2 linked regions of the Tribolium castaneum genome follow. The protein of the gene in region 1 interacts with the protein of each later gene in a pairwise test. Links are inferred from orthologs where the notes say so. Each region holds a gene or a part of one and is shown in the gene's direction. Other genes may lie near its edges. The genes, in order: gw and polyadenylate-binding protein 1.

Region 1 (16,637 bases):
TGATTTTTCAGCGGACATTGATATGGGCGCTTTAATGACCGTCTGTACCCTTTCTATCACCTTGCTGATGGTGTATGGTACAATTAGAGGCAAAGCCACCCATTTATTACCCTTCTTCTGTTTACAATTATTCGACTTTGCAATCACCACGTGAGTATAATTAACCGGTATGTTTTTGGATAAGGGATGTTTTTGTCAAGTATGACAAATGGAACAAAGTTTCTCAAAAATTACAATATTTAGGTGAATATGATAACATTTTTGCTTCTCTTTGAGCTCAGAAAATTACGTAAGTAATTTCGCTAATTCGCTAAACGTCTTAACTTTTCCTTTTTCTGAAAGTTTTTGTATGTCTTTCAATCAGAAACGCAATTATTTCACTAAATTTCAGCAGAATATGAGCTGCAAAATCATTAAATTATGATGAAAATATTGTAAATATTTGTCTTATACGATGATATCAATTTATTTTGGCTTTAAACTCTCTTATTTCCGCGAAACCTGGCCGAAAAATTACACAGTCAGGTCGAAAATGGTATAATTTAGTAAGTTTTTAATTAGAAATGTAACTATTTTGAGAAAGTTTGATGAAAATGAGTTAGAAAATCGTCAAACCAAATCTAAAGTGACTTAACTTTGATATTTTTTCGAATATTTAAGCACGTTTTTGGGTCGAAAATTCAGATTTTTACAGATTGTCCCAAAGTGGGCTAAAAAAACCATTGAATTAGTGAGAAATTACGTTATTATTTTTCTTTTTGGGGTATTTTCTAGGTTTTTCGACAAAACATGTCATTATTTCACGAAATTTCGTCAAAAATAAGCCGAAAAGTGGTTGAATTTACTTGGAAATCGTGGTATTTCTGTTATTTTTTGGTAAAACCGGGCTATTATTTCCGAAAAAGACTTAATTTTTGTTCTTTCCGACGTTGTTTTATCAGAAAATGAGCCAAAAAAATAACTAAATTAAAACATTTCCGATTTCAAACTCAGACAATTCCGCGAAATTTTGTCAAAACCTGACCGAAAAAATACTAAGTCACGTCGAAAATAGCGTAATTTAGTACGTTTTTAGTCAGATATCCAATTATTTGGCGGAAGTTTCTTATAAAATGTGTCGGAAAATCATCAAAGTAAGTCTAAAATGACGCATCTTTGGTTCTTTTCCAATTATTTTAAGTGACTTTCTTGAGTTGAAAACTGATTTTTACCAGATTGTGCCAAATCGGACAAAAAAAAATTAAATTATTTAAAAAAATACGGTATTATTTCTTCTTTTCGAGCGTTTTACAGGATTTTCAGCCAAAAATATCATTATTTCACGAAATTTCATTAAGAAATAAGCCGAAAAATCGCCGAATTCGGTCGGAAATTGTGTTATTTTTCTTACTGAGCTCGTTCCTGTTCTAAAAACTCAACTTTTTGAGTGATTTCACTAAAACTGTTTGAATTGGGTCGAGGTGACATTGTTTGGCTTTTCCGAACGTCTAAGCACGTTTTTGGATTAGTAAACAATCTTTTAATAGATTGCTCGACAAAAAAAAACACTAAATTGGGTAAAAAATGTACGTTTATTAGTTTGGGGAAAATAAGTAGGACTAAGTGCGTGTATTTACTTTCAAAATAATGTATTTTTCCTGAGTGTTTAGCACGTTTTTCAATCACAAAAAAAACGAAAAATCATTAATCAGAACGCTACAGATTTCCATTTCAAAGCCTTGTCCGAAAACATCGTGCCGTAACATTTTATAATTAGCACGTAATCTGCAGTTTTGCGATAAGTTGATTTATTGGAGCCCTAAACCCTTGCAGATTGACAGCCACCGGCTACTTCTGTTATTTGCGTTCAGTCCATCGCCTGGTCGCCGAACACTGGCACAACCTCCCTTTCCGTAACGAACTCCTCAAACTCAGTCCTCAGTACCTCTCCCTCCTGGTCCTCGCCGCTTTCCTCATTTCCATGCTATGGAAAGCCTATTGCATTGGCATAGTGTGGCGTTGCTACAAATACCTAACTTTGCGACAACAGTCGCGCAACAATACCATCCATTACATCCTTCCAACTGAAGGTTCCGATCGGTTACCAGAACCGGACTATTCCACTTTATTGCGCGAGCAGGAGGCGGCCTTTGGCGGCGCTTTGAAAATGACGCCGCCGCCCTCCTATCAGGACATTATGGAGGATCAGCCGCCCCCATATCCCACCGTTTTGGTCAATGAAGTGCATAGTCCGGGGACTTACAGGGTGGAAACGGAGGCACAGCAGCCCCAAGAGGCCGCCGCTGAGGCAAGCAACGAGGGCCGAGAGGGAGAGAAGAAGGAGGAAGAGGAGGGTAATAATAGTAAATAAACGATTATTGGTGTAGTCATAGTTATTATAACGAAGTGTGCACTTCTTTCAATTCAATAAATCGATTTTCGTGTCAACATTCCACAGTTTGAGTAGAAGCACTTAGAAAACAAAACGAGAATTCAAATGTGTATTTTAGATTAAAGAAATGAGTGTTTCCTAACTAATAACGAAGTTTATGTAACATATCTTATGCTAATTACGGTTTCAAGAGTGTACTCTTTCAATGTATAGTCGGTTTTATTTATTTGAAGGTTGACTGAACTTTAGAATTGCTTTAATTTTTATATGTGAGGCGCAAGGCCAAGTCGGCCGGCTGAATAGGTTGTTCAGTATCTATAACATGTACTTTAAAAGTAAATATAGCTCGAAAAATGCATGGCCCATTTATTTGCCACCTTTGCAATATTACAGTGGAGTTCGGTTAACGAAGTAAAAAATCCAGTCAATAGAATCACCAAATACGGTAGGAAAGGGTGTTTTTTTTAATTAAATATATAAAATTTCGCCACTTAAAAAATGTTCGGAAATAACGGCCAGAAGTGTAAGAAAATCATTTAATAATATGCAGTAACAACGAATCTAATTACTTCTTAACTATTTGGATGACGTCCTCGTCGTGCATGACGTGGGAAGTGCCGACCCTTTGGGGCGAGTATTTGGTGCTCGTGCCCCAGACTAAGGCATACTTGAATTGCTGGGCGAGCGTTCTGTGGATTGCGTGACACACATGCTCCACTGTAACCCCCTTTCTCAGAATCAAGCCGTCGCTGAAATCCGGCGGCTGTCCCGGTTTTTTCGTATAAACGCGAATTAAATTTAAATACTCCCAGAGGACTTGAAGGAGGTAATCTAGGTTGAGCTTCATGTTGCAACTGACGACAACACTGTTCGGCTGTCTGGCTATTCTATCGACTTCCTCGATCGAAATCTGATCGATTTTATTATAAACGTAAAGGCATGGAAGATAGACGCGGTTCGCACAAATCACGTCGATTAACTCATCGGCAGTGCAGTCTTCCCTGAAGAGAACCTCAGCGTTGAAGATTTTGTACTCGTGCAGAATCATTTGCACGAGCTTTTCGTCGATTTTCGTCAAGGGACAAGTGGAATTGAACGAAATACCGCCCCCTTTTTTCACCTGTTAGTGTCAAGAATTAAATTACACAGCGAGACGGGCGCCAGACTTGCCTTGAAATAAATGTTGGGCTTCATTTTGTTCAGCCTAATCCCCACACTTTCCAATTCCTTTTCTAATAAGTGTCGGTGGACGTCCTTTTTCGTGGCGTCCAGCATCATGAGGACCAAGTCGGCCGTGCGTGCCACCGCTATCACCTGCCGCCCCCTGCCCTTGCCCTGGGCAGCCCCCTCGATAATCCCGGGCAAATCGAGCAGCTGGATATTGGCCCCATTGTAGTCGATCACGCCCGGGATGCACGTCAAGGTCGTGAATTCGTACGACGCTGCCTCGCTTTCCGTCTTCGTTAAAGTTGACAACAAAGTGGACTAGAAAAAACATGAAACGACAGGTCAGGGGGTTCCCAAAACTCACTTTTCCGACTGACGGGAAGCCGATCAAGGCCACACGCGCATCCCCACTTTTTAAAACGTCGAAACCTTCACCTTTTTCCGATTTTTTCGAAGGCTCCAAGAGCTGGGAACGGTATTTTGCAAGTTTGGCTTTGAGGAGCCCTAAGTGGTACTCGGTGGCTGAAATAGGCCAATAAAACAACACAAAAGGGGGCGAAGTGTCTCCTGTACCTTTATTTTTTTGCGTGCGAGAGATTTCCTTCTCGATTTCCGAGATTTTTTCCAAAATTCCCATTTTCTGGCACGTTTTATTCCGGTTTGTTTGACATTTGGCACGATTGGCACCACTGTTTGGTGTAAATATAACCTCAAGTTTTGCTATTTATTTTGGGGCTAAAGGGTGTTAAAATGGGGCGCAAAATTCCAGGCCGGAAGCATAGGGGGGTCCGAGACCCCGAGAAACAACGTGCGGAGCGCGAGAAAAGGTACAACGTTGTTCGGTCTGGCATAACCTTACTTTGGCACGTTTCAGTCTTAAGGATAAAATAAACGCGCCCCCGAGTAACCCAGACGAACAGTACGTTCCTAAAAGTCTGCAAAGGATCGCCGAGCTTAAGGCGAAGGTTAAAAGTGGCGATTTTTTGCGCAAAAAGGTGAAAAAACCGCGTCCGAAGCCATTCTTTAAACAAGGTCCGAATGAGTCAGATAAACAGTTTTTGTATCGGGTGCACAAGCACTGTGCGATGGTTAAACACGAGGCGGCTTTTGAGGAAAAATTTGGGGTTGAGGTTCAGAGGAATGCAGAGGGGGAGATAGAAGGGGTTAAAAAACGGGCTAAAGACCCCGTGCAAGTGATGGTTAAAGAAGCAAAACAGGCCAAGAAGAAGAAGAAGGAAGAAGGGCCTAAATTAACAAAGTCGCAAAAAAGGAGATTAAAATTAAACGAAAAGAAGCAGAAGAGAATTAATGATAAAGTTGATGAGTTTGAGAAGTTTCAAGATAGGGTTAAGTTTGGGGAACAAGTGCATGAACCACCTACATTGACTGCGCCCCGGAAGGTTAAAACGGGGGGCGAAGCCCCACGAGTAAGTCACGCTTTCGCATACATTTTAATGAATTTGAAATTAAGTTGGCAACATTGTCACTCATTCCGGAGGGGTGGCCGCGTAACTGTTGCCAACCCAAATTCGAGCCCCAAAAGTTGAATTTTTATTATTTATTTTGCGAAATAAACTAAGTTTTTAACTGAAAAAACGTGCTTTAACCAAATTTCACTCAAAGTCGAACTAAATACCAACAATTTCGAGTTATTTTTTTAATTTTTGAGCGTGCTTTGACAAGTCTACGGAGGACTATAACTTAGGAAACGAATAAATCGCAGATTTCTGTACCCAAAAAAATAGTACGGGTGGGGAAAATGAGGGCGCTTCGAGCGTTATACCGAAAAAAATGCAGAAATGTTGAGTTCTGCATTCTCCACAAACTGACCTCTAAAATTTTGATGAGAAATATGGGAAAAAATTATTAAAATTTGCGCTTCGTCTCGTATTTTTAAAACGCTGCAAACTGTAGACAATTAAATTTTCTTTAAAAAGTCCTCAAGACCATATTTCTATCTTCTGAGTAAACCAGTGTTGCCAATTTAATTTGAAAATAACAAACGTAATTTAAAAAACAAAATTTTAGCCCGGCAAAAAAGACTTGTTGTTGAAGTCTGTTCTAAACAAAACCAGTAATAAAGTGATTGATAAAACGGGAAAAAGGAAAGACTTGCCAAACGCCCTTAGGAGACAACTTGATAAACAACAGAAGGAAGTGATTGAAGCTTACAGGGAATTAAAAGGCAGGAGAAGTGAATTGTAACTATTTTATTAACAAAAATACAAAAACTTTATCAAAATACAATATTTTGTTTAAATAAAAATCAACATGAACACTTGTGATGTAACGATAAGTTCAGAGAATGTTTGAATTTGGGTCCCAAGTCCAAAATTTGTGATTTAAAGTTACATCAAACGAACGAGCTTAACTTAACTAGGAATTGGTAACTTAAGTAATAAGTTGTCTAGGAACACTTTAAATAGTATTGACTTCAACCCCGGGATACACGTAGGGATTTTTGTCCTTGAGCGTTTCATAAATACCTAAAACTAGCTCCCGGAAAACAATCGGGTTAACATTTTTGCCAACATGATACAAAACGAAAAAATCGCCGTAACTGAACTTTTGTATAATCGAAGTGGCTTGTTTACTCCCGATAAACCTGGCTTGCGCCATTAGGAGATAAACGCGCAGTTTCGGCACACAAACGACCACAAAACGATAAATTAGCGACAAAAAAGTAACACCGGAAAGAAAAAACAACCAAAACCACAACACAATAAACAACTTTTCATTTAAAATGTTCAGCGGGAGGATACAGAGGGCGTCCCGGTTGACCTCGGAGCCCGAAGGGCCGTAAAACCTGTACTGACACTTGGTCAGTTTCGGGAACACTTCGTTCATTGCGTTGATGTCCCCGTTGGCAAAGACCTTAAAACCGTAGAGGGCGAACTGCCCCCCCAGGAACGTGTCCATGAGGAAAATTTGCAAAATCTGGCAAAAAATGGCTTAAGCCCAGCGTAAACAAGGGGGCAACTTACCACATTGGCCAAGTTGAGTATCTCACAGACGACGTATCTGATGGCATACAACGTGTGGAAATATTTCCCGTTGATTATGTACTGGATCATTTGGGACTTGGTGGTGGGGTTCCACGACGCCGTCACCAGGGGGGTGTTCAGGTCGCTCACCAGGAGCCTCAAACGGCCCCCTTCCCACGTCTTCCACAAGTAACGGGGCAGGTAGAAGAGCAGCGCTTGGAAGCAGAAAACGATACAAACCCACTGGTAGTACTTCTGCCAGATGATTTTATCATCAGGGCTCCGCATCCAGGGCCGTATGTCGCGGTTGTCGAGCCCCAAACCCGGAATAAACCCACTTTTGCCTGCACAAAATTTAAAAAAAACGTCCCGGCTTGTTGGCCAATTACCTGATAGGGTGTCCCGCCGGATGTACGTCCCGTGTATCCAGCAGTACGTCTCGACGATGTCCCGGTTCTCCTCCACTTTGCAATTGATGGGGTCCCCAAAATACTGCTTGCTGGTCAAGAGTATGGAAAACACGATCAGCATAATCACGGTTAATTTGTAGTGCAAACGGAACACGTTATTGTCAGTACGGATCTGTTCCACCTTCACTAAGGACTTGAAAGAGTTCAAAAAGTCCATCATTGTAAGTTAATTTCAAAATGAACAAGTTTTCACACTCGACCGGTAGAAAATGGCGCCAAGTGCCTGCCCCTATTGCCAACCGCATAGAGGCGAAAGTCGCAACTCGCGGTTTTATTCCACCAAAAAAGATTTTTTGTTTGTGCAATTAAATGGTTTTTACTGCTGGTTTTATTGTTCGGGTGATCAAATTATGACACTGTTAAATTATGGTCAAACGCGCCGATCGCCTTTTGTTTAATTTGGGGTACAAACGACCTCGTGTGCCACCGGTGATTTTCCAAATCCACAATTAAACCGTAGTCGGGTAAAGTGGGGCACGTAAAATACATAGTACTAGTACCGTGGCTAGTACGGGCCAACTTCCGGGAGTTTGCCTCCAAGTGGCGCGAAAATTCGAACGGCCGGAAGCGGTCGCCGGGCCGACGCATGCGCGCGGCCCAATAACAGAAATAGACTTAAAAATGGCGTCATGCTTCGACGGTCATTTAGATGTTTGACGAGAATTTCAAGCTGAATCTGTGTGATTTCGAGTGATATTTGTGCGAATTTTTTAATTAAAAGACTTTTACGGATAGGTGAGTACACAGTTTGCTAGTTTTCCCGTTCGGGTGGCACTTGTCCGCTTGTGGTGCACCGCCAAATGGCGTCTTACCGAAAATGCAAAACACGTTCGGGCGAGAAGGGGGCTGCCGGGCGCGAGGCCGCGTTGTTTTGGTGCGCACGGCGCGCCGCCACAACATTCCCCAGATTGGGATTTATGCAATGGGAGCGAGTGAATGTATCTTTTTAGTGTCTAGTTGGGTTGGCTCGCGGGCGGAGCGCCGTTCTTCGCAAATATGCGACCTTGATTGAGCATGAGTACGAGCTCCGGACTTACTTATAAAGCTGTACTGTTGCCAGGCTCACGGATGGAAAACACTTTTGATTGTGTGTCGTTGGCGTCGGAACGCTTGTTACCGTCACAGGTCGCTGGACGGGGGCCAAAGGCGCCCCCAGGACCGCCACCCGCGATTTTGCGATTAAGCGTTTACTGGCCCTAGTACTATTAATACAATCGGAGAGGGAATTATTTATTTGTAAATAAAGGGGATATTTGAGTTGCGTGCTTTGTAACAAGAGTCGGGCGCTGATTGAGCCTCAAGGTTACACGGTTTCATTCAGAAAGAGGCTGACAATGACAGATGGCGAAAATGGGAACAATTCACGGAGATTTTCCCAGGTTTCCTCACATGATTCCATCAAAATCCACTGTTAAAAAAGTTCAATACGGTCCTGGAATCTTGGACATGCTCTTTTGTCTTTCGTCCTTTTATTTATTACACATTTTTTTAATAAGTAATACTGTTTTTAAAATTGCACAATTTGTGTACTCGTTATCTATTTATTTGTTGGACAATCCTGAAACCTTCTACTTGCATTATCTTGGCCATTATTTAAATGTTTATCGTTATTAACACAAATGGAGGACGTGTGCTCGAGAAAAAGGCCTGTTTATGCGAATAAGCGCCGCTTATAATTTATGTCCCTGTTTCTTGCCTGGAATTAGCGACAATAATAAAAATTGCAAGAAAGTTCCTAGAAATTTTTCCCTGTTTCCTGCAAGTGAAGTGTTACATTAAGTTGTAAATTTACTGTTATTAAACGCAATAAACTTTAAATACACACAAAGTGCATAATTTATGGTTGTTTGTGTAACAACGCCCTAACGAGTTTCAAATCTTTTAAATTCAATTATGTTAAAATAGTCAAGTTATTACAACAATTTGTTGACCTGCTGTTACAATATTGAAAAAATCCGGTTTTATAAATATTCAAATGAGCTATTTTTGAACGTATTAACGAAATCGCGTTTTTGCCAATTATTATCGATCGGTATGAATATCTTGCACGGGTTAAACACCTTGGGAAAATATAATAAAGTAATAAAAAAGTGTCGTCATCCACCCGAGAAGTTTAATTTCATAAAACCATGGTGCGGAAAAAACCATGCGGTTTGTTAACCTCTCAATTAGCACATCCAGAACAGTTATCGAAGGCTCTTCTTGGTTGGAACAAGGAAGTGCGTGATTTCTGGCGTATCAAGGGGGGCTAATAGGGCCATCACCCTCGTGATTTGTTTAATTTAATTTAATTTTATTTATTCTAAGAGATAATGCGATAGGTTGAAAATATAAAGCCATTCCATTTTAACGGACGGGACACTACACAAGTTTTTATTTTTTTTTTATTTTCATCAGAAGTGATATTTTCTTTATAGACACCGAGTACCAGTCAAACTGTTCGCAACCTAGAATTAGAGCCACATTTATGAAATTTTAAATAGAGCAGGAAAAAATATGAATTGATAACGGACGGGACACAAAAAAACTTTAAATTTTTTTCGTTATCATGGTGAAAATAAAACAATTTTTCCATGTTTAGCTTTATTTTTAACCGATTTTCAGTTAAAAACGAGCTCAGTGCAGTGACAAGGTCTAAATACTATCAATTTTGATTTATTTTTGAGATATTTATGCGTCTTTTGACAAGATTTTGCAAGATTAATAAGTTTCTGGTTCATGAGTCTAGTGAAACTACTGCTAAAATAATATCAATTTCAGTTTAATTTTCTGATTCTAGCAGAATTTTTAGAAAAAATAACTAACTCAGAAACTCTGAAATGTGCTTAAACACTCCAAAAATGCAAATTCATCGAGCAGTTTTGGCGTAATTTAATAAATTTTCAAAATTTTACGAAATAATTGTTGAAAACTAGTAGCTCGAACGCTCATAAATACAAAAAAAAATCGTAAAAAAGTTAGATTTTGGTTCAAAAAAGTAATTAAGGACTTCTTTCAACTTATAAAAAAACAGGCTAAAAACTTATTTAAAAAGTTGTAATTTTTAGGAAAATTTTCGGGAACAAACTTACTTTATTAATTTTTAAGCCAACATCCATAAAAAAAGTGCATAAACCATTCATAATTTGTTTTAACAAATTTAAAAAAAAACTAAAGGCTTGAAAAACGTCAAGTAACACAATTTTCGACGAAGCGAATTTTTTCGTATTTTTTGAAGCAACTTAATTTTGACATTTTTTTTTGTTTTCCTTAGCAAGGGTATGGATTTTTGCTCTTTTGTTTCCTATGATGTCAGTTTTTAATTGTTTTGTACATCATAGGACATCAATTGTTGATTTTTTTCAACAGTTATTCGTTTAATGTTCCAAGTGCTGTCGTTTCCGCTAACTAAAGTTAGAAAAATATGATCTGGAGCACCAAAAGCTTAACTTGAAAATTTAACTTTTAAGAGCTATATCTCGTGAAAAAAGGCTTAACCAATGTTTTTATCATAGGAACTTTTAATTCATTTTGATTATCAGCACCCGAGAAATTCATGTATTTTGAAAGATTATATTACTAAAATTATTTTGAAAATGTCAGGTACATTTCTCTTGGAAGGGCTCTATTAGTAAAGCTCTCAGCTTTTCCTTAAACCACTATTAATTTATTTTGAGAAAAAACAAATTAAACTGAAACAATTTGAATTTTTTGTTGTTTGATAGAAATCCTCCGATGAGGAATGATGGAGTTACAATTAAGTTAATCCTGATGGGGCCAAAATTATTTTATTGAGAGGGAGAAAAGTGTCATTTTGCGCCTTAATTGACGTAAACGGGGCCTAGTTCCGTCCGTACGTGATGATGACTTCCTCCCCACGTCGTCCTGACCCATTTAATCCGTTCCCGAGTTAAGGTCACAACAGTTTCGGCCTTGCGTACCCTTCGTCCGACCTGACCTTATCCCTTTTCCCTAGTTGTGTAAATTGGGTCAGGGCGCGCGTCGGCGGCGGCGGCGGCGACGGCGTCGTCGCCGTCGACCATAAACAGTTAGCTCGGATTCCGTCTCCGATGCGCTATCACTGTTATCAGTCCCGCAAAAAGGGTGCATTTTCTCAGCGCGTTTAACATTAATAATAATAGTAACGGTGTCGCCACCGTTCATTGGCCGCCAGGTTTGTTTTTATTTACGTTGTATTCTGCGAAGACACGATCAGGTTTTGCAATAGTGGTGGTGGCCCCTTGATGTACCCCCCTGCTGGATGCCTCCCGATTGTTATCGAAATCACCTTCCGTACTGCACGCTTTCCAAAAGCCGAACCGTCGCGATCGCGAACGATTCGAGCCGAGTGAAGGTAGCCCTGCCACGTAATTGCGGATCAATAAACAAATCTGTGGTGCCCGTATAATACAAGTATTTAACGCCAAATTATTGAAATAATTGTGATATTTAGTATTCTCATTTGTTCGTGTGATAAATCACCAACTTTTCAACTGTGAACGCGTTACAGTTTAGTGCGTATTTATTGGATAATAATTCGATATGACTTGGGTGATGTTTCTCAAGCGTTCTCATGCTCCCCTCTACCAACTTGGCTAGTTGTTCCACGGGCGTCCATATTTGTGTGTAAGTTTTTGCATTTATTGTAACATTTTTTTAATCGTCCGCAATTATCTGAAATGATTGGATAAACAATTCGCTCGAATGACGTCACGTATTTTATACTTTGCGCTCACTTTGTGTTACAATTTGGTGGATACTTGGCTATTCTTATCGATTTTTTACGACCAGCAACAATTTATCAAAATGACATTTTAATTTAGTTCTCCCAATGTTGGTAATTGAAATTTTCGAGTAATCCGACGCCTACTCGTGCATTGCTTACACAATGCGTCAAAATAATCTTTCATTTCTAAAATTAAACCGCAGAGATACTGAAATGTAGGTGGTTGTCGCATTTCGTGCATCTCTACCGCTCGCTAAAGTGGGTAGTGGCGTTTTCTATTTCATTTTTTGATTTTCTTTCACTTTATTATCGGAGGTTGGTATGTTTGACGTTTATTTGAATAAGATAAGATGGCGGTCTTTATTCTAAATAAGGGTGGTGTTTTTACCGATCCCTGGATTTAATTTTTTGATTTTGTTTTATTAATTGCAAAATTTCGTCCAAAATCAGCCAAAAATTCGCCTAAACTGGTCAAGAATGGCGTTGTCGGAGTTAAAAGTACGTACTGTTCAGAAATGGCTGTTCATCAAGTCACCTATGAAATTTGAACGCTTGATTTAAATTGTGAATGACGTCAAAATGACAGTTTTGTCAAAATAATTCTAAAAACGAAAGAGTACACAGCAAAAATCGTGGAAATATGTATAAAACACAATTCAAGACCCTGCACTTTTGCCGAAAAATTCAAAAAAGTGAGCAAAAAGTTAATTATATTTGAACACATTTTTTTCCTTCTTTCTAACACATTTTTTGGTAAAATTTAATCAAAAATTCTGTCAGTGGAATCACCAAATTCGGTGGAAAAGGGTATTTTTGGTTTTTCTTTTAAACAATATTTCTCCCAACATTTTATTAAAACACAGAAATCGCCCAAGTTGCAAGTCGAAAACTGGCTAAATTAGTGCAAAAATATCAATATTTTTGGCTTTTTTTCGAACATTGTCAGCTAGAAACGTAGTTGAAAGTAAGCGTTGTCGGCCAGAAACGGAACTATTTTTCGTGATTTTTTCAAAATGTGTGGAAGAGTTGAAGTGTTGGTGTTTTGCAGATCTCTGGCTGGCCAGACTGATATGGAGCACTAGTGACGATGCGCGCCCCCACCCCCTCCGAGCCGAAGTCTACATTTCCTACCTACCAAGTGCCTCAAGTGTCAGCCATGAGGGGCAGCGCACCCCCAGTACAAGTCGCTCGGGCAGCTTGGGGGGGTCGAGCCGACCCCCCGAGCCAACCCATCGCCGCTAAAGGCGCCACATCTGTGATAAACGGCTCAAGTTGCCGTTTAAACGGCAACTCTAATATTAGAATGCAATCTGTGACCGAAAACTGTCTTCTGAACTCTGTTACCGTACCAAAAATACAACGTAAAGACCACTGCAAGGTCGCCCACAATAATAGCGATAAGTTAGTATGTAAGTTTGGTGCTTTACCCCTCGGACGAGACATTCCCAACCAAAAGTCTGATGACCTCGAAGTACTCGACCTCAATGCACTGAAGAACCTCACTAGCTGCGATAACAACGACGAACACTGCGACGACGACGAAATGTGCCGTGAGCCCCACGTTCAGCGCACAAGCGATAATCATACGCCGCCTCTGAGATTAAGAGGCGGTGGCGAAAGTTCGCTCAGCACCGGCACTTCTGGCTGGGGCACCCCACCCTCACAACAGGCCAGTAATAATAACGGTAACAAACCCCTAAATCATTTTATTCATTTTAAACGAATTCATTCCGTAATATAGCTAACACTTCGAGCGGCTGGGGAACAGCCAATCCCGCTAATCAAAACAATACAGGCACTCAGCAATGGAACAATAACGCTAATCGACCACCGACCTCAAGCCAGGGACCTACGCAAGATGGTAAAAATTTGATCAATTAAAACCGATACAAAAAGTATTAATTTTTTATTCAAATAGCCAACAAGGCCAATTCTAACCTGAATTCGAATGGACAACAACAAACACCCGCCTCACAACCAAACAATTCCAGTTGGGGTCAACCAGGTGCAAAACCACCAACAACCAACAATGGACCCCAACCTACAACTTCGACATCTTCAGCTAAACCACCCAATCCCACCGCCCAACCCAACACGACCACTTCAACCAAACAACAACTTGAACAACTCAACAACATGAGAGAAGCCATCTTCAGCCAAGACGGTTGGGGAGGCGTACGTATTTTTAATTTTTTGCGAAATAAATTTAACTAATCATTTCGTACAGCAACATGTGAATCAAGACACGAACTGGGACATCCCCGGCAGTCCCGAACCCTCGATGAAGATGGACGGTTCAGCTCCACCTCCTTGGAAGCCAGCAATCAACAACGGCACCGAACTATGGGAAGCCAATTTGCGTAACGGCGGTCAGCCGCCTCCACAGCCCCAACAGAAAACCCCATGGGGTCACACCCCCTCGACCAACATTGGCGGTACCTGGGGCGAAGACGACGACGCCGACAGTTCAAACGTATGGACCGGTGTCCCCTCAGGCCAGCAACAATGGGGCAATACTGCCAATAGTGGCGGTATGTGGGGCGGTCCGAAAAAAGAGTCCGAATGGGGCGCAGCGGCTGGAAACCCTGGCTGGGGCGATCCGCGCACTGCCACCGATCCACGTGCAACTGGAGGCATTGATCCGCGCGATATGCGTCCAGATTTGCGAGATATGCGAGCCGGAAGTTCGGATCCGATGCGTTTGTTAGATCCGAGAGAACAAATGAGACTGGCTGGAAGTGATATGAGAGGCGATCCGAGAGGAATCACCGGAAGACTGAATGGTGCTGGAGCCGCTGATGCGTTCTGGGGACAAGCGGGACCGCATACAGGGACACAACATATTCATCATCAGAATAAAATGCCGGTGGGACCTGGAAATGGGGCCGGATGGGAAGAACCATCGCCGCCGACACAAAGACGTAATATGCCCAATTATGATGACGGTACTTCGCTCTGGGGCAACCCTCAGCAAGGTAGCGTAGCGGAATTGCACTTATTTATTTTATATTTTTGATTGGTTTGTTATTCTTGTCGAAATTACACGCAAAAATTGAGTCATGCACTTGATATAATTAGATAAGGTACAAGTGGCAAATGCATTTTTGTTTTAAATGTTTACGTAAGGTTTGAGAATTGAGGAAAATTTGTCTTTTGCTTGTGCAATGAGAAACAAAAGGAAGATAACTTTGTTTCATAATATTTGATATGAGATTTGTGTGACATCAAATTTATTTTAAGCGGTTTAAAATTCCTCGAGGTCCATCAGGTTCTAAATTTGGCTATTGTAATGTCTTAAAGAAATAAACATGGTTGTTGTTTGAATATAAATAGAACGCGTCAACACTGAGTCACGTAATAATGAAAAAAATTGGGGATTTTAGAGCTTACGTTTGAATTCAAATAGAATTGTTTGCGTGTTTTTTGGGCAAGACATAATGTAAATATTTCTTGTGCTAGAGAGCGGAATCGTCGAGGGGTAATTAGACTAATCATGATTTTAATTTTGTTTAATTTTTCTTTGACATTTCCACACGAGATTAACACCGCAGACACACACTGATCATAATCACACTTGCACTCATCCAACTTTTCACCTACAATAGGCTCTCACTGGAAAGATCTGCCCACAGGGGCAAGTATGGGACGCGGTAGCACCGCTGGTCCACCTGGAATGGCTCAGTCCCGTATAAAACCAGACGGTTCAGTGTGGTGTCATGGGCGAAATGGTTCATGGGACGAAACCGGACCGGGATGGGACGAATCCGTGGGCGGTTGGAACAAACAGAAAATGGCCGGGACCCATCTATGGGGCGACAACGAAATCGACTGGGGCCACAACAAAGGACCCAAGCAAAATCTCACGAAAGAAATGATCTGGAACTCTAAGTGTTTCCGAATGTTGATGGATATGGGCTACAAAGTCAGTGCTTAAAAAATTGTTGTTGTTTTATATTGCGATTTTTTTTTAATAGAAAGAGGACGTCGAGACGGCGCTTCGCCGCGGCGACATGAACTACGAAGACGCTCTTGAAATCCTGGGTTCGCGTAATCCGGACGGCTGGCGAAACCGCCACGACGACCACTACGACCATCAGCAGTTCCCGGGTCAGCGTTTCCCGTCTGGACCCCCAGGCCAAATGTCGTTCCCGCAGGGCAACAACGCCCCGAACCTCCTCAATAACATGAACAGTTCAGGTGGGCCAAATAATTCACTCATTAATAACATCTCGCCTGCTGGAGTACACAAAATGTTGACACAAGGCGGCGGCGGTTCGCAAGGTTTTGGTGCTGTTTCGGCGGCCGGACGCAATCTTCAACCCCAATCGCAACCCTCAACTCAACAATTACGAATGCTCGTACAACAAATACAGATGGCCGTGCAAGCTGGTTATCTTAATCATCAAATTCTCAATCAACCGTTGGCACCGCAAACTTTGATTCTCTTGAATCAATTGTTGCAACAGATTAAGACACTTCAACAGTTGATGACACAACAGTCGGTTGCACAGTCGCAATGCATCAACGGGAAGCCGAACAGTGCACTCTTGCAGTGTTCGGTGTTGATTACGAAGACTAAACAACAGATTACGAATTTGCAAAATCAGATTGCTGCACAACAAGCCATCTATGTCAAACAACAAAACCATGGAAGTATCGGTGGGGGACAGTCGGATTTGTTCAAGACGGCTGCACCGATGCATGACTCGATTAATGCCCTACAGAGCAATTTCGCCGATTTGGGGATTAAGGATCAAGTGGTGAGTTGAGCAAAAAATTGCGTATGTGATACGGGAGTGGTTTTTTACAGAATCAGAGTCAATCGAGGCTTAACCAATGGATCAATAAGGATAAAGAAGAAGGTGGAGAGTTTAGTCGTGCCCCAGGTTCATCGTCAAAACCTTTGGCTACCTCACCTAACATGAATCCACTAGGGTTGA
Region 2 (16,361 bases), on another chromosome or scaffold:
AACACTTCTCTCTGGTGTACACCAGGTCTTTCTTTCTTATAAATATCAGGGATTTCGTATAAACGACAATAACACACTAGTCGGCGATGTGGTAACGCCATATTTGGTTTTTTACCAACGATCGTTGCTTGGACTTTCATTACTTGAGTCACGTGGTCTGAACCGGGCTTAAATTCGTTCGCTTTGACACGCTCGTAAACCCCAGTCAACATATCACTGTCAATATCACCACAATCGTCGATACCTCGTAAATTTTTTATGAAGTCTTCGAGCTTCATCCGACGTTCGGGTTTTATATTCGGGGTGTGGAGGTCAGTGTTCAGCATTATTATCGCAAAGGCGAGCACAAAAATCTGTAAATAACAACGATTAGTTAACACGTTGTAATTACTTTCTTTGTCAAGTTTAATCAATAGGGATATTTCCCATGAACAACTTTCATATTCATTGAAAGAACAGTCTTCCTACTTGATTGAAAAAGTGATTATATAAAATTACCGAGCAAAAATTACATGGCACTTACCGTATCAGGCGATCTTAACCGGGCGACGATATCGACATTGCACTGGCAATATCTATGCGAGAACACCTCCATAAGTCTTTCAATCTTTTGTGCTTCTCCAGGCATTCGGAAATGCTGCTGGAACTTCCGAAGGGCAACATCGACTTGCATTCCCGACAAATCTAACTCATTAGCGAAGCATTCCAAAACAGCCATACAAAACGGATTTTGTAAATTCCCTAAATACTCTCCGATCATTTGTTTACTCAGTCCTTTTCTCGAGATGAGAAATCTGGCGACGCCTTGCGGCGAGTTCTCCAAGAACCCTCTTCGGATTAGATAGGAGATGCCTCGTTCTGGTTTTTTATTAAATAAGTTAAGTCCTACTCTGTATTGTCGTTTTCTTATAGTCTCGGTTATTTTATAGCTGGCGGGTGCTTGTTGTTCATTGGCTCGTTCTAGTGTGTAGGTGGATGTGCTAGTGTTGGAAATGTTCCCTAAACTGGTCTCTAAGGCCGGTTCGGCGTATTCCGAAATGTGATTTCCTTTGCGCTTCCAGACTGGCGATCCGGAAAATTCACATTGCACGCGTTCAGTCGATATACTACTGTCACTACCGGAACTTTGGACACTTGACAACGAGCCGTTTTCGTTTGTTTTGGTCAAGCCGTTGCTTTTGTGGTGTCGGGGGTCTCCGACCGAACGAGAGGTAATACTTGAGGTTCGTTTAGGTACTTCTGGTGGTACTTTTCTACTGTTCAGACTGTGGCGGCTGCGAGCGTAGCCGTTTGTGGAAGTTGTAGGAGTACTACAAGAACTGGGACTTGCAGTCACTTGGGTACCTAGCGAATCCGATTTGGAGTCAGCGGGTGAATAGTAGTGTTGGAGGGAGGATGAGGAATAATTCTCCCAACACACTGTAGGAGTCCCCGACTGACTCCTAGGTATTGGCATATTGTCAATATTACGTCTCTCGCGCAAAGACATCGATCTAACTGGAAGAACTCTCATATTCGAGCAGTCGTGTCCTTCATAATTCCTCATATATTCGGGACACTGCTCAGTCTCACCTATTGTGCTACGACAGTCTTCGGAATTTGCAGGAATTCGGCGACTAATACGTTTCTCGGCTTTGGCCATTGCTGTAATTGCTGCGAATTTTTTAAGTAGTGTGTATCGTCTGAACGCCCGTTGAATCGTGAGAGCTGCATTTCGCGCTTTAACACCGCCATATTTCCGTTCCAACACTTCGATTTGTTTGTCGAGAATGTCTTGCGACAGCTCGTATCTAAATTTACCCGAATCAGTTTTCTCTTACATGACACTGGAGCGTACTTACGTTGTCTGAACCCTCGACCTTTTCAAGACATCTCCGTTCCGTAAAGAACCCTTCTTATGAAGAGGCTGCGATACATTCACGTACGTCGAGTTGTTAGGGGAGGCACGGGAATAGATAGGACTGGGGGTTGGAGTACTGTAGTTTTGAGCTTGGACAAAACTGGGAGCCTGGATGTAAGTCTGTTCTTGAAACTGGTCGGATGAACCCATCGAATTCACTATCTGGGACCTTTCCATTTTCGGTGGAAAGCTGAAATTAAAACAATACAAAAATAACAACAAAAACCTAAATTACTGTTCACAACCTTGAAAAACTGAATTGTGAACTTTCTGTTATTGACCTGTTGCCACGCAAAGCAACAAAAACCATTTTAATGTCACAACTATTAAAAACCCAGTAAACCAGATAGAATGAAATGTCATTAAAATAAAACAAGAGAAATTTTACATTTCTTTACCCAGCACCACAGTGTTGAGGCAACTACTCCAACGATACATAAAAACACAATTAAGCATTTAACTAAATGAACAGACGACTATCACATTACAAAACGCCCCTTTGCGCAAATCCTAATTCACAGAAAAACTTTACGGAAATAAAAAATACAAAAATGATTACGTTTCAAGTCGTAATTAACTGAAGCCGGGAGTGGTTCAAGGGCTAATTACAAATTTATAAGTTTTAATAGGACACGCAGGATGATTCTATCCTTATGAATAAAACAGACTTCAAGAAATTCACTCAACTTTGCTAAAACAGTAAATACAGATTTTTTTAAATGAAAGTCCGTATTTGCTTTGATTTCCCAACTTGTCGGAAATCCTTGAACCGTAAAGTTTCTATTTTAAAATTCTTATGAGGCATGTACCGGGGTAGGTCAATTTAAATATTTTAATTAAATCTGATGATTTGTCTGTATTATCTACAGGATGAGTGTAATTGCTCATTTATGCATAATTTAACGTAAAAAATTTCACCTTATCAATAAAAAAATTAATTAGTGCAAAAGCAAATAAAAATCCTTACTTTCCCACCAAAAAGCCCGATATGCAAATAATCATCTCGCAAACACATGCACCAAAACAAAATAAACAGAATTGAACTGCAGCAGTTTCTCGAGTGCTGTACACCCTAAGAAGGCAGCTGGCGAACTGAAATCAAGATGGTAAATGGTTCCTAAATCACAGGTAGTCAGATGAACCATAAAGGAAAAAATAAGGTCGAAGAAGAGCAGCTGGCGCATTTGGTAAATCGGGCATCATGTGTTTCATCATCAGAGAAACTATTAAATTTTAAGCAATGGACGTGACATAACTTATAAAACCTGAATTCATTTTGACCAATTGGTAGAAATTCATTGACATTATTAGATTAGTCATAAGTTTAATCGTGCCGAGGCTTCAAATTAGAAATAATGCGACAATACCATGGGAAATAAGTCGGCCGTCAAAATTCAACAATAGCACGTATCTTTTTTCGACATACAACCATACTAGCCTTGATTGCAGATATCCAGGAAACGACATTTACCAAAATTATACATTCATTTTTTATCATCCGAGATAATCACACAGGAAAAAGATACAGAAATGTCGATGCTTAGTCTACAGGGTAAAGGATGTTGAATTTCCTTCGTTACTTGGTTTAGGTTTGGATCGTTTCAAGAAGGTACATATATCTTAAAACCGACACGATGCACGTGTCCGGCTATCACGTGATGCAACCCCCAGGGGAGGCGAGGTGCAAGGGAGGGGCCGGCAGGTGGCGGCCCTAACGCATGTGTGGCGTGTGGTGACCGAACGAAAAGCAGATGTTTTTCGAATACTTTCGTCCCCCTTTCCTTCCCTTCGAGAAATCGAAAAGACTTCACTTTTTAAATGTAAAAGGAATTAAATATATTGTACGGTTTGCGCGACCTCGATTATTTGCGGCAATTTCCGCCCGCCTAATTCACTAATTTGTTTCAAAATTAGCCGCATACGGATGAAAAACATTCAAATGGCGTCAATTGTCTTGTTTTTTCTAATTCGAGCCGAAACGAAATTAATTATTCTGGGGATTCGGTGACATTGCTTGAAATCATAGAAAGTTTCGATAAATTGCTGCCATTGCATAAGCGACAAACTGGTCACGACGTTACCGAACAAGTGCAAAAAATTACGTTTACTAATTCGATAACAAATATTGCCATATTACGCTAATTGCTCCCACTTTGGACTTGACGGATGTGACGCAAATCTCGCCAAAAACCACATGGAAAATTTTTAAATCGGCAAAGATCAGATTTTATGACGATGGTCCGGGTCGAATTGACATTTAGAAACGGAAGTACGGCACACGATCGCCGCATACAACAACAAACGATAAAGCATTTTATGTGTAAATAAATTCAAATTAGGAAAAAGTACGTTTATTTTACATTCTAAAATTGCGTATAATTAAACGATAAAGGAGAAAGTTGTTCGAATATTCAACATTTGTGTGCTATGATAAATGGCGATTTTCTAAAAAAAGAAAAAACACATCTGTCAGGTAGGTGACATAATACGTTTAAATGTTACAACTTTTGAATTTTGATGAGGCACTTTACTAGATTGTGCCGAAATTAGAGCGCGTCATGTATTCTAGTGATTAATTAAGCGTTAAAAATTACTATTACAGTTAATTCAATTAATTTACAGATCTCGATACATTAATCTGATTTAATTAACGAATTAACGCGTACAGCTACTTTTTTACTTCACTCAACCTTGATTTCATTAGAGAAAAGTGTGTTCAACTACTGCCCAGTGCAGTGGCAGTAGCATGCAAGCAATTATTATAATAAGGTACCAACATTCCAGTTATCAAAGTAGGGTAGAGACAATTAGCGGGACTTAATGTAGGTATAACGATACCCTCATTTCAAACACCGTTGCCACATTTGAGCGACGTTGTCACACACCTGTGACGTAACGTGACGTCATTTTATACATCAAAAATTGCTAAAAAACGATGCTTTCACTCGCAAAAACGGAAACTAACGTGACATAAAATGCAGCTTACAGTTAAACCAATGTAGGTTTAATGGCGCATTAGCAGCCTAGGTACAAAACAAAAATAAACTAATACGGTAGGCGCATGTTAATTACCCCAACGGTAAATGCACAAGGAGGTCCGTGCCCTGATCACCCACCTATAAACAATGATTCATTCCAAATGACAAAAACGTGGCTTATCAATAATTTCTAATTGTGTCGGTAATGAGTGAGTAAGGGTACGGAGATCTATTGTGGCTGTTAAAGTACAATTGAAACAATTTAGCAATCAGCGTCATTAATCATTTAAAAGCGACTTTTTCCAAATTATCCTGACAATGGAAAAAACGCGAATCTTGTTCAGGTCTGTTGGATAAAGCAACATAGTTACCCAAATACGTACTTGTGAAAAATTGAGCTCTTTAAACATATACTTAGGTATGACATTGAGAAATGTGAAATGTTATTTTCCGGGACTTTACCTGATGACAGTGACATGTTTCCGGAAAGGCGGTAAAGTGTGACATGCGTCGGTAACAGTGACCAGTCTACTGACATGTTGTCTTCTGGTGGTGCAAACCACCCTGATCCGTTCTTGTTGTATTCCGGAGCGTCTAACTCTGACAACAGTTCTATCGCACACATCAACCGTATGCACAGGGTTCGACCTGACATGTTCGGTTCTAACTTGACTCTGCACGAAGGGTTGGGGAAACCCCCCTGGCGACTGTCCACGCATTACAAGCACTCACAATTCACGTACCATGATTGCACTTGCGACCGGATTGAACGGCGATAGTAAAAGTAATCGTACTTTCTACTTTTGTGTCGATCACTGGTGGTGGCCGGAAGCACTAGGGTTGTTAAATCGCGGGTTTTGTACACAGTTTGCGGATTACAAATGTCAGCTGACCGTGCCTCAGCACAGACAACCGAATGGAACGATCGGCACAGTTAGAAGAAGGCGAGCGGGGCTACAGCCTGACGTCACTTAGTCACAGTCCTTGGTGTTACATCACCACAAATAAACACCGAGGCAGATCAAACCCTGGTGCAACCTAAACCTGGCGCCCCGACGACATGTGCGACTCTACTACACGACCACAAGCCTCAAGGCTGATGCACGAGCAATTACCGCAAACGTGTGGGTGCTTGCCAATACCAAGAAACGCCAGCTAAAGAATCGCCTCAAAAACGACAGCGCGTTATAGACTAGCCTGAGGATATCCGTTCACTTTCCCTTATTTAGAAATCAATACGCCGTTCGACTGTGGCATATATGACACTTTGTGGGGACCCCGAGCGCGATTTCCGCCAAAGAGTGCATCCTCGAGGTTAATGACACCAGGACAGCCCCCAAATCCGACCGCCGCCTCCCTAATCCCATTATCCACAAAAACAAAACCTCCAAACAGGACTACCAACAAAACGCCAATTACCTTAATTTAATAAAAACCATCGACTTATTATCTTCTTGACCAGTGTGAACGGTCGGCGTCGCGACGTCGCCACGCATGCGCACAGAACCAAGTCAGTGGGAGGCGTCGTTTATGACATTTTACAACATCCTTGTCCCAGAAATGTACAACAAAAAACAAACAAACGCAAACTTTGCAAACAAAACACGACTGCCACTTTAAATCATTTGACGTTTCATCAATGAAACTGCGACCGATTTATGACAAGGGTCGCATCTCACCCTTGGAGGGATTTCCCCATTTTTTAATTATCGCAATAAATAAACGGGTGTTTGATGCCGTTTTCTCACCTTTCATCTTGCAACCGTTTCAGTTCCACCATTTCCAGCTCGAACCTCAGATTGCTGTTTTCACACAGCAAAAGATCCCGCTCGCTTGCAACTCCATCCAGTTCCCTCTTTAGCCGAATTATCTGGTCCCGTTGTTCCCGTATGATGGCATCTTTTTGGGCCAATAACGAATTTATATCGACTTCTATTCCTGCCATTGCAGGTCTCCTACTGTTCACACACACACGATCCTCAGTTGTTACGGTACCGTCCAAATTTTTAATCTGACGGGCATTTTCCTCCAGCAACGATTTGGTTTTTCCTTTTTTCACACAAGTTTTTCAAAAAAATTATCACATCTTATTCTGAAACGATATTGACAGACGAAATACAACGCGCCGCACTGTTCCTTGGTTTTTCTCACTATTATTCATCTGTCTCTCTTACGTCAGGAGCGAGAGCACAGAACAAAACGGGATGAACAAACCTACACACGTTGCCCCATCTGGAAATCCCCTCCAGTAACACTTCCAGGATGGTAACTTAGCGACTTGTCTTACCGGCCTACCACGAATTTCCGCACAAATTGCCGATAAAACGTGATTTCTCACACGAAAATGGGTGACTAACTTTGTTCACCTGCCTAATCAGCACAATAGTGCTTTGTAGATAAAAAAATCAGATAAAATGTTAATAACAATTACCATACATGGCCACGTGAGTAGTTGCGATGTTGCCACATTGCCATGTCCACAAGAAAATAAAGCACTCTTTGTTATTTTTGTTTGTTTTTAATGAAACAAGAGGTCCTCATGTTTCCAGTTTTAAATATTCTTAATCTACATCAAAAATCAAGACAACAGAAAATTTATTTATATTTATTCATTTTTAAACAATTTCTGTAATATATACAATTAATCTTGAATTTTAACTAACTCCGAAAAACTATTTTGTATGGATTTAACACAAAATAAACTTAGCCGATTACAAAATGAAGGCAAAAATTATATAAAATGTAATAACATTCATCTTGTTAGTCTCATCAGTGTTTTCTTAATCTTTGTTATAAAATATGGTATATAAAATCTATTTCTTCTCAAATATTTGTTATCTGACTCTAAAAAATTGCGTAAAAGAAAAAAGCACCTGTTTGAGCAAGTAAATTTACTCTCACTGAATTTTTGTTTAAACTAATAATAATATAAATCGTTATCATATACTTGTGGCAGCAGATAAGACCGTTACATATCGAAAAAAAATATTTACACACCGATTTATCAGTGAGAGTTGGTACTTAATTTTTTTAATGTGTTCGTTAAATATGAATATTAAAGCAAACTACTCTTAAGACTGTTCGTAATGCCATTAGTTGCTACCACACCATAGATGAATCACTCACTACTTCTTATCTTAATGATTACGAAAATATGTGAAAAATGAAGCTTTTTGGACAGGTCTCATCCTAATTACTTATTAAGTGCTACTATTAATATTATAAAAGACATCCGAATGAGTTAAAAAAATTGTTTTAGAGAGTTAGATTTCTTGAAAAAAAGAATTTTGAATTTTATAATCGAAAACATAAATTAAATAAATTTCACGATTTAAATGCTAAGAATTTAAAGCACGTAACGATTTCCGTTTGAACGTCCACAATTCGTTCTTTCAAATATGCCGCCACAAGTTTGACATTAGAAATTAGATTTCCGTTAGAAATTGTGTTCATATCAGCCTAAATTTGTAACAATTTGACTATAAAAAGTGTTCTGTGGTCACGAAAATTTAAGTCGTATTTTTATTAAACTTTTAAAAGTTTTATAGGAGACGGTACGTGTAAGAATTTTTAAAAATAGTCATCTTTGTCAACGGTCAAATTTTATGGTTTGGCAAATTTAGCTCGATTAAATTGAGATAGACGTCGGATTCTTTCTGAAACGATGTATGAAATCAAAAATGTGCTTTTTTTGCTAAATTGGTCGCAGGGTCCGTTAAAATTGATGTATTATTCAATATTTCATCACATGGCAACACTGGAATCAGTCATATCCGGCTTGTATAAGTAGTGAAAATGCTGTAACGACTCCATTTTGTTACTGTTGTTAGTGGTGTAAGCGTGTGGTTGTGTATCTTCTTAGAACACACAACCCACCTAAAAAAAAGCTAAATAATATTTACAAAAATCCAAAAAAATTATAAAAACTCATTAAAAACCCCAAAAAAATCGAAAAACAGTGGAAAAAACGAAAATAAACGGTTAATGTATATTTTTCGTTTCTTATGTTAACGCGTAGCATATCTGTGTAGTGTGCAAGAACGAAGATGAATCCGGGTGCTCCAAACTACCCCATGGCGTCTCTGTACGTCGGGGATCTCCACACCGATATCACGGAAGCAATGCTTTTTGAAAAGTTTTCCACTGCTGGACCAGTCCTTTCGATTCGCGTGTGCAGAGATTTGATAACGAGGCGTTCTCTCGGTTACGCTTATGTGAATTTCCAGCAGCCCGCTGATGGTAAGTGCGAACCCAGTGCCCATTTATTTGTTCCATATGGTACCCGACTGCCATTTAATATTTAATCCGTTTTGATTGTTAACCTTCCCCCACCACGCTCGCAACATTGAAATTTCTTAGAAATTGGTAAATGTTAATGTTGCAGCCGAACGCGCTTTGGACACCATGAATTTTGATTTAATCAAGGGCCGCCCAATTCGCATTATGTGGTCCCAACGCGACCCATCCCTTCGTAAGTCGGGAGTAGGAAATGTTTTCATTAAGAATCTAGATCGTTCCATTGACAACAAGGCTATGTACGATACGTTCTCAGCCTTTGGAAACATTCTCAGTTGTAAAGTAGCTCAAGACGAAAACGGCACCAGCAAAGGCTACGGCTTCGTCCATTTCGAAACAGAAGAAGCGGCTAACAAGTCGATCGAAAAAGTAAACGGCATGTTGCTCAACGGAAAGAAAGTCTACGTTGGCCGTTTCATTCCACGTAAAGAACGTGAAAAGGAGCTTGGCGAGAAAGCTAAGCTCTTCACCAACGTTTACGTCAAGAATTTCGGCGAAGACTTGACTGAGGAGCAACTGCGCACCATGTTTGAGAAGTACGGCAAAATCACCAGTTACAAGATCATGAGCAAGGACGACGGCAAGTCGAAAGGATTCGGATTTGTCGCCTTTGAAAGCCCTGAAGCCGCTGAGACAGCCGTTGAAGCTTTGAATGGTATGTTGCTTGTTGAGAGTGGCCGATTTTGTTTCTAATGTCTTTGTTTAGGTAAGGAAATCATCGATGGAAAGCCTTTGTACGTTGGACGCGCCCAGAAGAAGGCCGAGCGTCAGCAAGAATTGAAACGTCGCTTCGAAGCCTTGAAGATGGAGCGTTTGAACCGCTACCAAGGCGTGAACCTCTACGTGAAAAACCTGGACGACACAATTGACGATGAACGTTTACGTAAAGAATTCTCTCCGTTTGGAACCATAACATCGGCGAAAGTAATGATGGAGGACAATAGGAGCAAAGGCTTTGGCTTCGTTTGTTTCTCGTCGCCGGAAGAGGCCACAAAAGCCGTGACCGAGATGAACGGCCGGATCGTAGGTTCAAAGCCTTTATACGTGGCCTTAGCGCAGCGCAAGGAGGACCGTAAAGCCCACTTGACATCACAATACATGCAGCGTATGGCGAACATACGCATGCACCAAATGGGTCAGTTTATCCAGCCTGGAACGTCAAGTGGGTATTTCGTTCCAACGATCCCAGCCCCGCAGAGGTTCTATGGGGCGGCCCAGATGGCCCAGATCCGCACGAACCCGCGATGGCCGGCTCAGACCCCCGTGAGGCCCGGAGCCCAGGGCAGCGCTAACCCGTACGGTACCATTCCGACCACGTACCGAGCCGCGCCAAGGCCCCCGAACCAGTCCGCCGCTTTGAGGAGCAATATCAATGTGCCAAGACCAATAACCGGCCAGCAGCCACCGAATATACAAGGACGACCATTAGCTAGCCAAGCCGTTGTAGCACCTGCAGGTAATCGCCCAACTACTTACAAGTATACAGCAAATATGCGTAATCCTCCACAAGGTTTAGGCATCAGCAATGCTGCTCCGGTCCAGCAAGCTGTCCACATTCAAGGCCAGGAGCCTTTGACAGCCACCATGTTGGCAGCTGCCCCGCCACAAGAGCAAAAGCAAATGCTGGGTGAGAGGCTCTTCCCACTTATTCAACGCATGTATCCAGATTTGGCCGGAAAAATCACCGGTATGTTGCTCGAAATTGACAATTCGGAACTTTTGCATATGTTGGAACACAATGAATCCCTCAAAGCCAAGGTGGAGGAAGCCGTTGCTGTCTTGCAGGCCCATCAAGCCAAACAGGCTGCTATTAAAAAAGAGTAAACGGTCGCTTACTCAGACAAATAAATATAATAAAATGAAAAAAATTGCAAACATGTCTTACGACAAAAAAACTTATATAAAAATCGAAACATCATCATAAATGAAACTATTATTATGCGTTCGTGATTTTTGCTTGTTTGCAATTTTCACTATCTTAGTTAAATAGTTATTTCTTTGGTTTTTAGTTACTTTTCGCATTTTCCAATATCCTATTAATTGATGTATCTGCAACTTACTGAATTTGTAATATAAAATTGTACATTTCATATTTATTTTTCGTTCAAATTAATTTCTCAATCTTATGTTACTCTCTTGGTTTTTGGAATTTTAAAATAATAAATCTTAATAAAAACACATTCTTTTATTTACCACTTCACTACAATAAGATCTAAAAATAATATCTAAAGCACCAGAAATAAAATTCAAGGTAAGTATTGAAAGTACCAAAATAATTCAACATTTTAAAACACTAAAAAAAAGATCTAAGCTTACTTTTTCAAATGCCCAAATACGATTTTAAAAAATGATTGCGATTTGTCCAAGGAACAAGGGTGCTGTATTTTTTTTAATGACTTAAACTAGGATATAAGATGAAGGAATACTGAAAATTGTTTTAAAAAACTTGATTAATCGAAAAAGCAATAAAAAAACAGTACCGTAAAATTTTCTCACAAAAGTACATAACTTTTATCAAGCAAACTTCAAATTTTATAGTTATATTCACATTACCTTACCTGACTGCCTTAAATACAGAGGTGGGCAAAAGTATGGAACGAGTTTTTTCAAAAATAAATTTTCGAAATTCTTTTTAGTAAGTATTAGTACTTTTAGTATTTTAGAGCATAATCTTTTATCAAAAAAATTATCGTAATAGGGTGCCATTTGAAGAAAAAAAATTTTGAATACTTTAAAACTATTATCTGGGATATAATGGTGTAATGAAAAACGAATAGTATATGAGAAATTTTTATTAACCGAAAATACAATATCAAAACGAAGTAATGAAAACATTGGTCATTTGAACAGTTTTTTGTGCTGTTGACTAATGAGCAATATCAACAAATTAACACTTTATCAACAAAAACACGTTAGGCATTCTGCACCGCTTTTTTGGCGGCATCGTCGAGATTTTCAGCTGTTTGGATATTCATGCCTGAATCCTTGATAATTCTCCGGGCCTCCGCCGCATTCGTGCCTTCCAGTCTGACAATCAAAGGCACTTCAAGCTTCATCGCCTTCATTGCACCCACGATTCCATTGGCAATCGTCGCGCAATTCACGATCCCGCCGAAAACGTTGACCAAAATACATTTAACGTTCTTATCAGACGTGAGAATATTGAACGCGGCTTTGACCTGCTCCTCGCGGACGCTGCCCCCGACGTCGAGGAAGTTGGCGGGGTCGCCCCCATGCAGCTTGATGATGTCCATGGTGGCCATGGCCAAACCGGCGCCGTTGACCAAACAGCCGATGTTTCCTGTCATCCCGATGTAGTTCAGGTTGTATTTCGCCGCTTCGACCTCGCGGGGGTCGCTCTCGGTGACGTCCTCCAACGCGAAGATGTCCTTTTGGCGGAACTGCGCGTTGTCGTCGAAATTGATTTTCGCATCCACTGCGATCACTTTATTGTTGTCCGTTTCGACCAAAGGGTTGATTTCGAGCTGAGTGGCATCGACGGCGAGGAAGAACTGCCACAGTTTTTTCAGCTCGGCTGCGGCCAAACCCTTGAGGGGCCCCTTGAACTCCAGGAACTCGGCCACCTCATTGGCCATACTATCGGTCACCCCCTTGTGAATATCAATGGGGATGTTTTTGATCAAATGGGGCGTCTTCTCAGCCACGGCTTCGATGTCCACGCCGCCTGCGGGGGACGCAATTAAGACAGGCCCGTTCTTCTGCCTGTCCATTAAAATGCAAACGTAGGTCTCCCTCTGAATGTTCACACTTTCGGCAATCATGATTTTTTTCACCTCGATGCCGTCCTTGGGCGTCTGCTTCGTGATAAGCCTGTGGCCGAGCATTTTTTTGACGATATCGTCGACTTCATTGCGTCTGAAACAAACGCTCAATTTTGACAAAACCACAAAAAAAATTTTACTTCTCAGTGACATGAACCCCGCCTTTAAAACCATTGGTAAAGTGGCCTTTGCCGCGACCACCCGCCAGAATTTGTGCCTTTATTACGTATTCTTTCACATCTGCAAAAAATTAAACAGTGACATAACCCCAACTTTTATTAACACTTTTACTAAATTTATCGAACTCGGAGCATCCCTTATCATCAACCATGCAAAAGTCTTGCACAGCCACCCCATTTTTGCGCAAAAGGTGCTTGCTTTGGTACTCCAACAGGTTCAAATAACGCACCGGAACCTGAAAATGATTGAGGTTATGTCATGTTTTTTGCGAATTTGTAAAAAAGTTACGGAGAATTGTTTTATCTGAGTCGGGACTTTTAAAAGAGAGTTCCAGAGGGAAGACATTGTTTGGTTTTCGCAATAAAGGCACTGCACACTTATCACTGGTATTTATCTAATTGGGGAACAGCACGAATGCACAAAGTCCAAATGTCTGAATGTTTTATCTGAAATAATTGTCCATAAAAAAAGACGGAGCGAGAAATTGCTCAGTGACGCAACTTTCGGCCAATTTGTGGGATAATTAAGCAAAACACACTCCTTAAGTTATTTTATATTGATCTAGGTTAGGTTTTTCCCATAACTCTAGGAAAAAAGCATTGATTTTGATTTTTGGTAAAGGGAAGGTAATAAAAACGATTTTTCGATTTTCTTACGCAAAAAACTGTATTTTTTATACACATATTTATACTTTTTCCACCTGTGCTAATTAGGTTTCTAGGTTAAGAATGCGGGATTTTATTTTAAAACAAACTAAACGGGACAGATAAATATCTATTAGTTTTTATTTTTAGTACACATTTAATATTTTTAATAACTATTTACAAAAATAGGCGTTTTGATTTAAATAAGGGGCTGTGCTCGCCATTGGTGGAATCTATATGTCATTGTACATAAATGGCCAATAACAAACTAGATAAGTATGTACAGTGAAGGTCACAAGATAATTATTTTTGGACACTATTTTTACAAAGGTGATGACAAAAACAATAAAATTGTTGTAACGACACATCTACAGTCGAAATATATTTATAAATGCGTTTGTTAAGCACCGATATGTACATATTTTCCCGTCTACCTGATTCCGCTGACATTTATAAATAGAATTAAAAAAACTTAATAGTCCTGTCTTGTCGCCCAAAAACGTATCACAAGTGATGAGACATCTAAATATATTTAGTTAATTGAAAACTGGTTTGCAACTTATTTTTAATATCCCATATGAAGATGATTTTCCCGCTCCCTCGATCGCTTTTTCAATAAAACAATGCAAATTAGGAGCAAAGCGAGCAGGGCGATCACAAGAGCCACCAAAGTGTACATTGCATGCCGGAAACCTGCAGCCGGGTCTAGAACTTACCAAATAAAATGCAACTTTGTGAATTAGTTATTACCTGGACTATTTTGTAGCTCCCGCGGGATGTTATTCGATAAATTATTCTTAATATTGGCCATTTTTGGCACGAGCTGGTTCCAGAACAAAACCCTCTGGACGCGTTTTTTATTTTCTTCATTTATGTGGGAATTAACCGGCCCAAAATTTTCGATATAATAGTCCCCCGAGGTGTATTTTCGCCACGATCTGACCTGATTGTTTAGTGTCGGCTCCCTGAAATTTTTTCCTAGACTTTGGACTATTCATGTTGGGGGAAATACCCAAACATTATAAAGTTGGTCCATAACTGTTTGATTTGTCGACTCAAATTCATTTCGTTGGCGTTGAACCGCCGCCTGGCCACTTGCTTCAGCAAAATCGGTCCAAATACCAAGAGAAGGTCTGTGGTAATGGTCGAATCGGTTGTATTGAGAACAAACCCAACATCATCCATAAAATAAACATAAATTGGTTGCACGTATGACGAAATCAGGTGCGAAAGTTGCAAAAAATGTGGCGCTTCCACTTTGGCCTGAAACTCAAAATCTTTCAACTCGTCGTAGAGGAGTCTAACGTCCCCTTGGTTCGACGAGAAGTACTGCCACCTGATAAGGTCATAAATGTGGTCTTTGTTGGACGCCCCGAGTTTATACAAACGCGCAATTTCGGGGATTTTCACCTTTTCGACGTATTGTTGTAACTGGGTGAAGCCCTGACTTGCGAGTTCCAACCACTGCACTAAAAATAAGGGTCAAGGAGGGACGATTGTCAAAAAAACGTTACTAAATTGCTCGTCGGTGATAGGTTTCGAAATTCCGGTCAGAACGGGAACTTGCCAATCTGTGCCTTCTTTGAGCGCATTTGTGGGGTTCAAAGGGAGGTACCGGTTATTTTCCGGTAGGAAGGTGTCCACAACGGGCAAAAATCTATCGTTCCAGTTAAAAGACTGCAAAAACCGATGAGTGTCTCGAGTATGGCTGTCCGAACGCACCTCTGAATACTCAGCCAGAGCTTGTAAAATATGTTCCACTTTCTTTGATCGGAGACATTTAATCGGCTGCACGGTGTAAGCGTCGCAACCTAACATCCGAAGTATCTGCTTGGATGCCACCACCGGGTCATTTTTCTCCTGCCAGGTCGCTACGGCACTTCCACTCGAAATGATAACCCTTTGGAAGAACCCGGCGGTCCGCGGCGAAACCATATGAAAGGTCACGCTCACAGCCCCCGACTGGTGGCCATAAAGCGTGATTTTTTCGGGGTCGCCCCCAAACTGATTGATATTTTGCCGGATCCAGACCAGAGCGAAATACTGGTCCAACAACCCCAAATTTCCGCGCGCTTCGGCCGACCCCAAGCAAAAAAAGCCGAAAACGTTCAGTCGGTAGTTGAGCGTCACGACCACCAAGCCCTCAGTCGCCAAATCTTGCCCGTTTATCGGAAACTCGCTGCTTTGGTAAAAATTCCTCCCTTCGAAAAAAACCACCACCGGCAGTGGGGCGTACAGGCCTGCGTTCTGGAAAAGTCGCCACAAATCCATTTGTGGAAATCGACAAAAATGAAGACTCTCGAACCTCAGGCGACCAAACGTTGAGGTAGAGACAGTCCTCCTGGTCGTTAATTCCGGGCTTTGGGGGCAGCTGGGGGCAGTGGGGTGCGAAACTGGTGGCTTGCCGCGTTTCGTTCCACGGGGGGTGTTTCAGAGGTGGGGCAAATCTCAGATCGCCTGTCGGGGGCGCAGCGTACGGAATGCCGAGGAACGCGTTTACGGTTTTTCCCGTGTCGGTGATAATCCTGGACTGTTAGGGGGTGAGACAGGGTTTTTTGGACGGTGACTTACCCCTTCCAAA

What was found.
Region 2: the proteins of gw (region 1) and polyadenylate-binding protein 1 interact in binary tests that used the Drosophila melanogaster proteins (3 or more experiments, as listed by UniProt). The link is inferred for Tribolium castaneum from reciprocal best matches to the Drosophila melanogaster genes gw and pAbp.

What each region holds. Positions count from the first base shown.
Region 1 is NC_087399.1:1,986,462-2,003,098, reverse strand, and holds the start of gw (protein Gawky), read left to right. Parts: upstream 1-7,573; 5' UTR 7,574-7,727; intron 7,728-11,052; exon of another isoform or gene 11,053-11,645; intron 11,646-11,696; exon of another isoform or gene 11,697-11,833; intron 11,834-11,905; exon of another isoform or gene 11,906-12,012; intron 12,013-12,745; 5' UTR 12,746-12,784; coding exon 12,785-13,382; intron 13,383-13,438; coding exon 13,439-13,558; intron 13,559-13,615; coding exon 13,616-13,872; intron 13,873-13,924; coding exon 13,925-14,672; intron 14,673-15,302; coding exon 15,303-15,619; intron 15,620-15,671; coding exon 15,672-16,457; intron 16,458-16,507; coding exon 16,508-16,637. Other genes in the region: lysosomal-associated transmembrane protein 4B, read left to right, coding at 12-150, 1,813-2,350; developmentally-regulated GTP-binding protein 2, read right to left, coding at 2,937-3,491, 3,542-3,856, 3,903-4,060, 4,112-4,175; coiled-coil domain-containing protein 137, read left to right, coding at 4,289-4,365, 4,413-4,965, 5,567-5,743; innexin inx2, read right to left, coding at 5,957-6,475, 6,523-6,866, 6,912-7,152. UniProt on the Drosophila melanogaster protein: Required for gene silencing mediated by micro-RNAs (miRNAs). Silences both polyadenylated and deadenylated mRNAs. Required for miRNA-mediated translational repression and mRNA decay. Not required for miRNA target recognition.
Region 2 is NC_087403.1:5,254,405-5,270,765, reverse strand, and holds polyadenylate-binding protein 1, read left to right. Parts: upstream 1-8,677; 5' UTR 8,678-8,924; coding exon 8,925-9,117; intron 9,118-9,262; coding exon 9,263-9,829; intron 9,830-9,880; coding exon 9,881-10,998; 3' UTR 10,999-11,350; downstream 11,351-16,361. Other genes in the region: siz (IQ motif and SEC7 domain-containing protein 1), read right to left, coding at 1-353, 524-1,790, 1,842-2,090, 5,341-5,597; ScsbetaG (succinate--CoA ligase [GDP-forming] subunit beta, mitochondrial), read right to left, coding at 12,087-13,050, 13,097-13,196, 13,248-13,371, 13,425-13,481; pyrethroid hydrolase Ces2a, read right to left, coding at 14,346-14,485, 14,531-14,745, 14,793-15,249, 15,295-15,457, 15,503-16,027, 16,086-16,310, 16,352-16,361.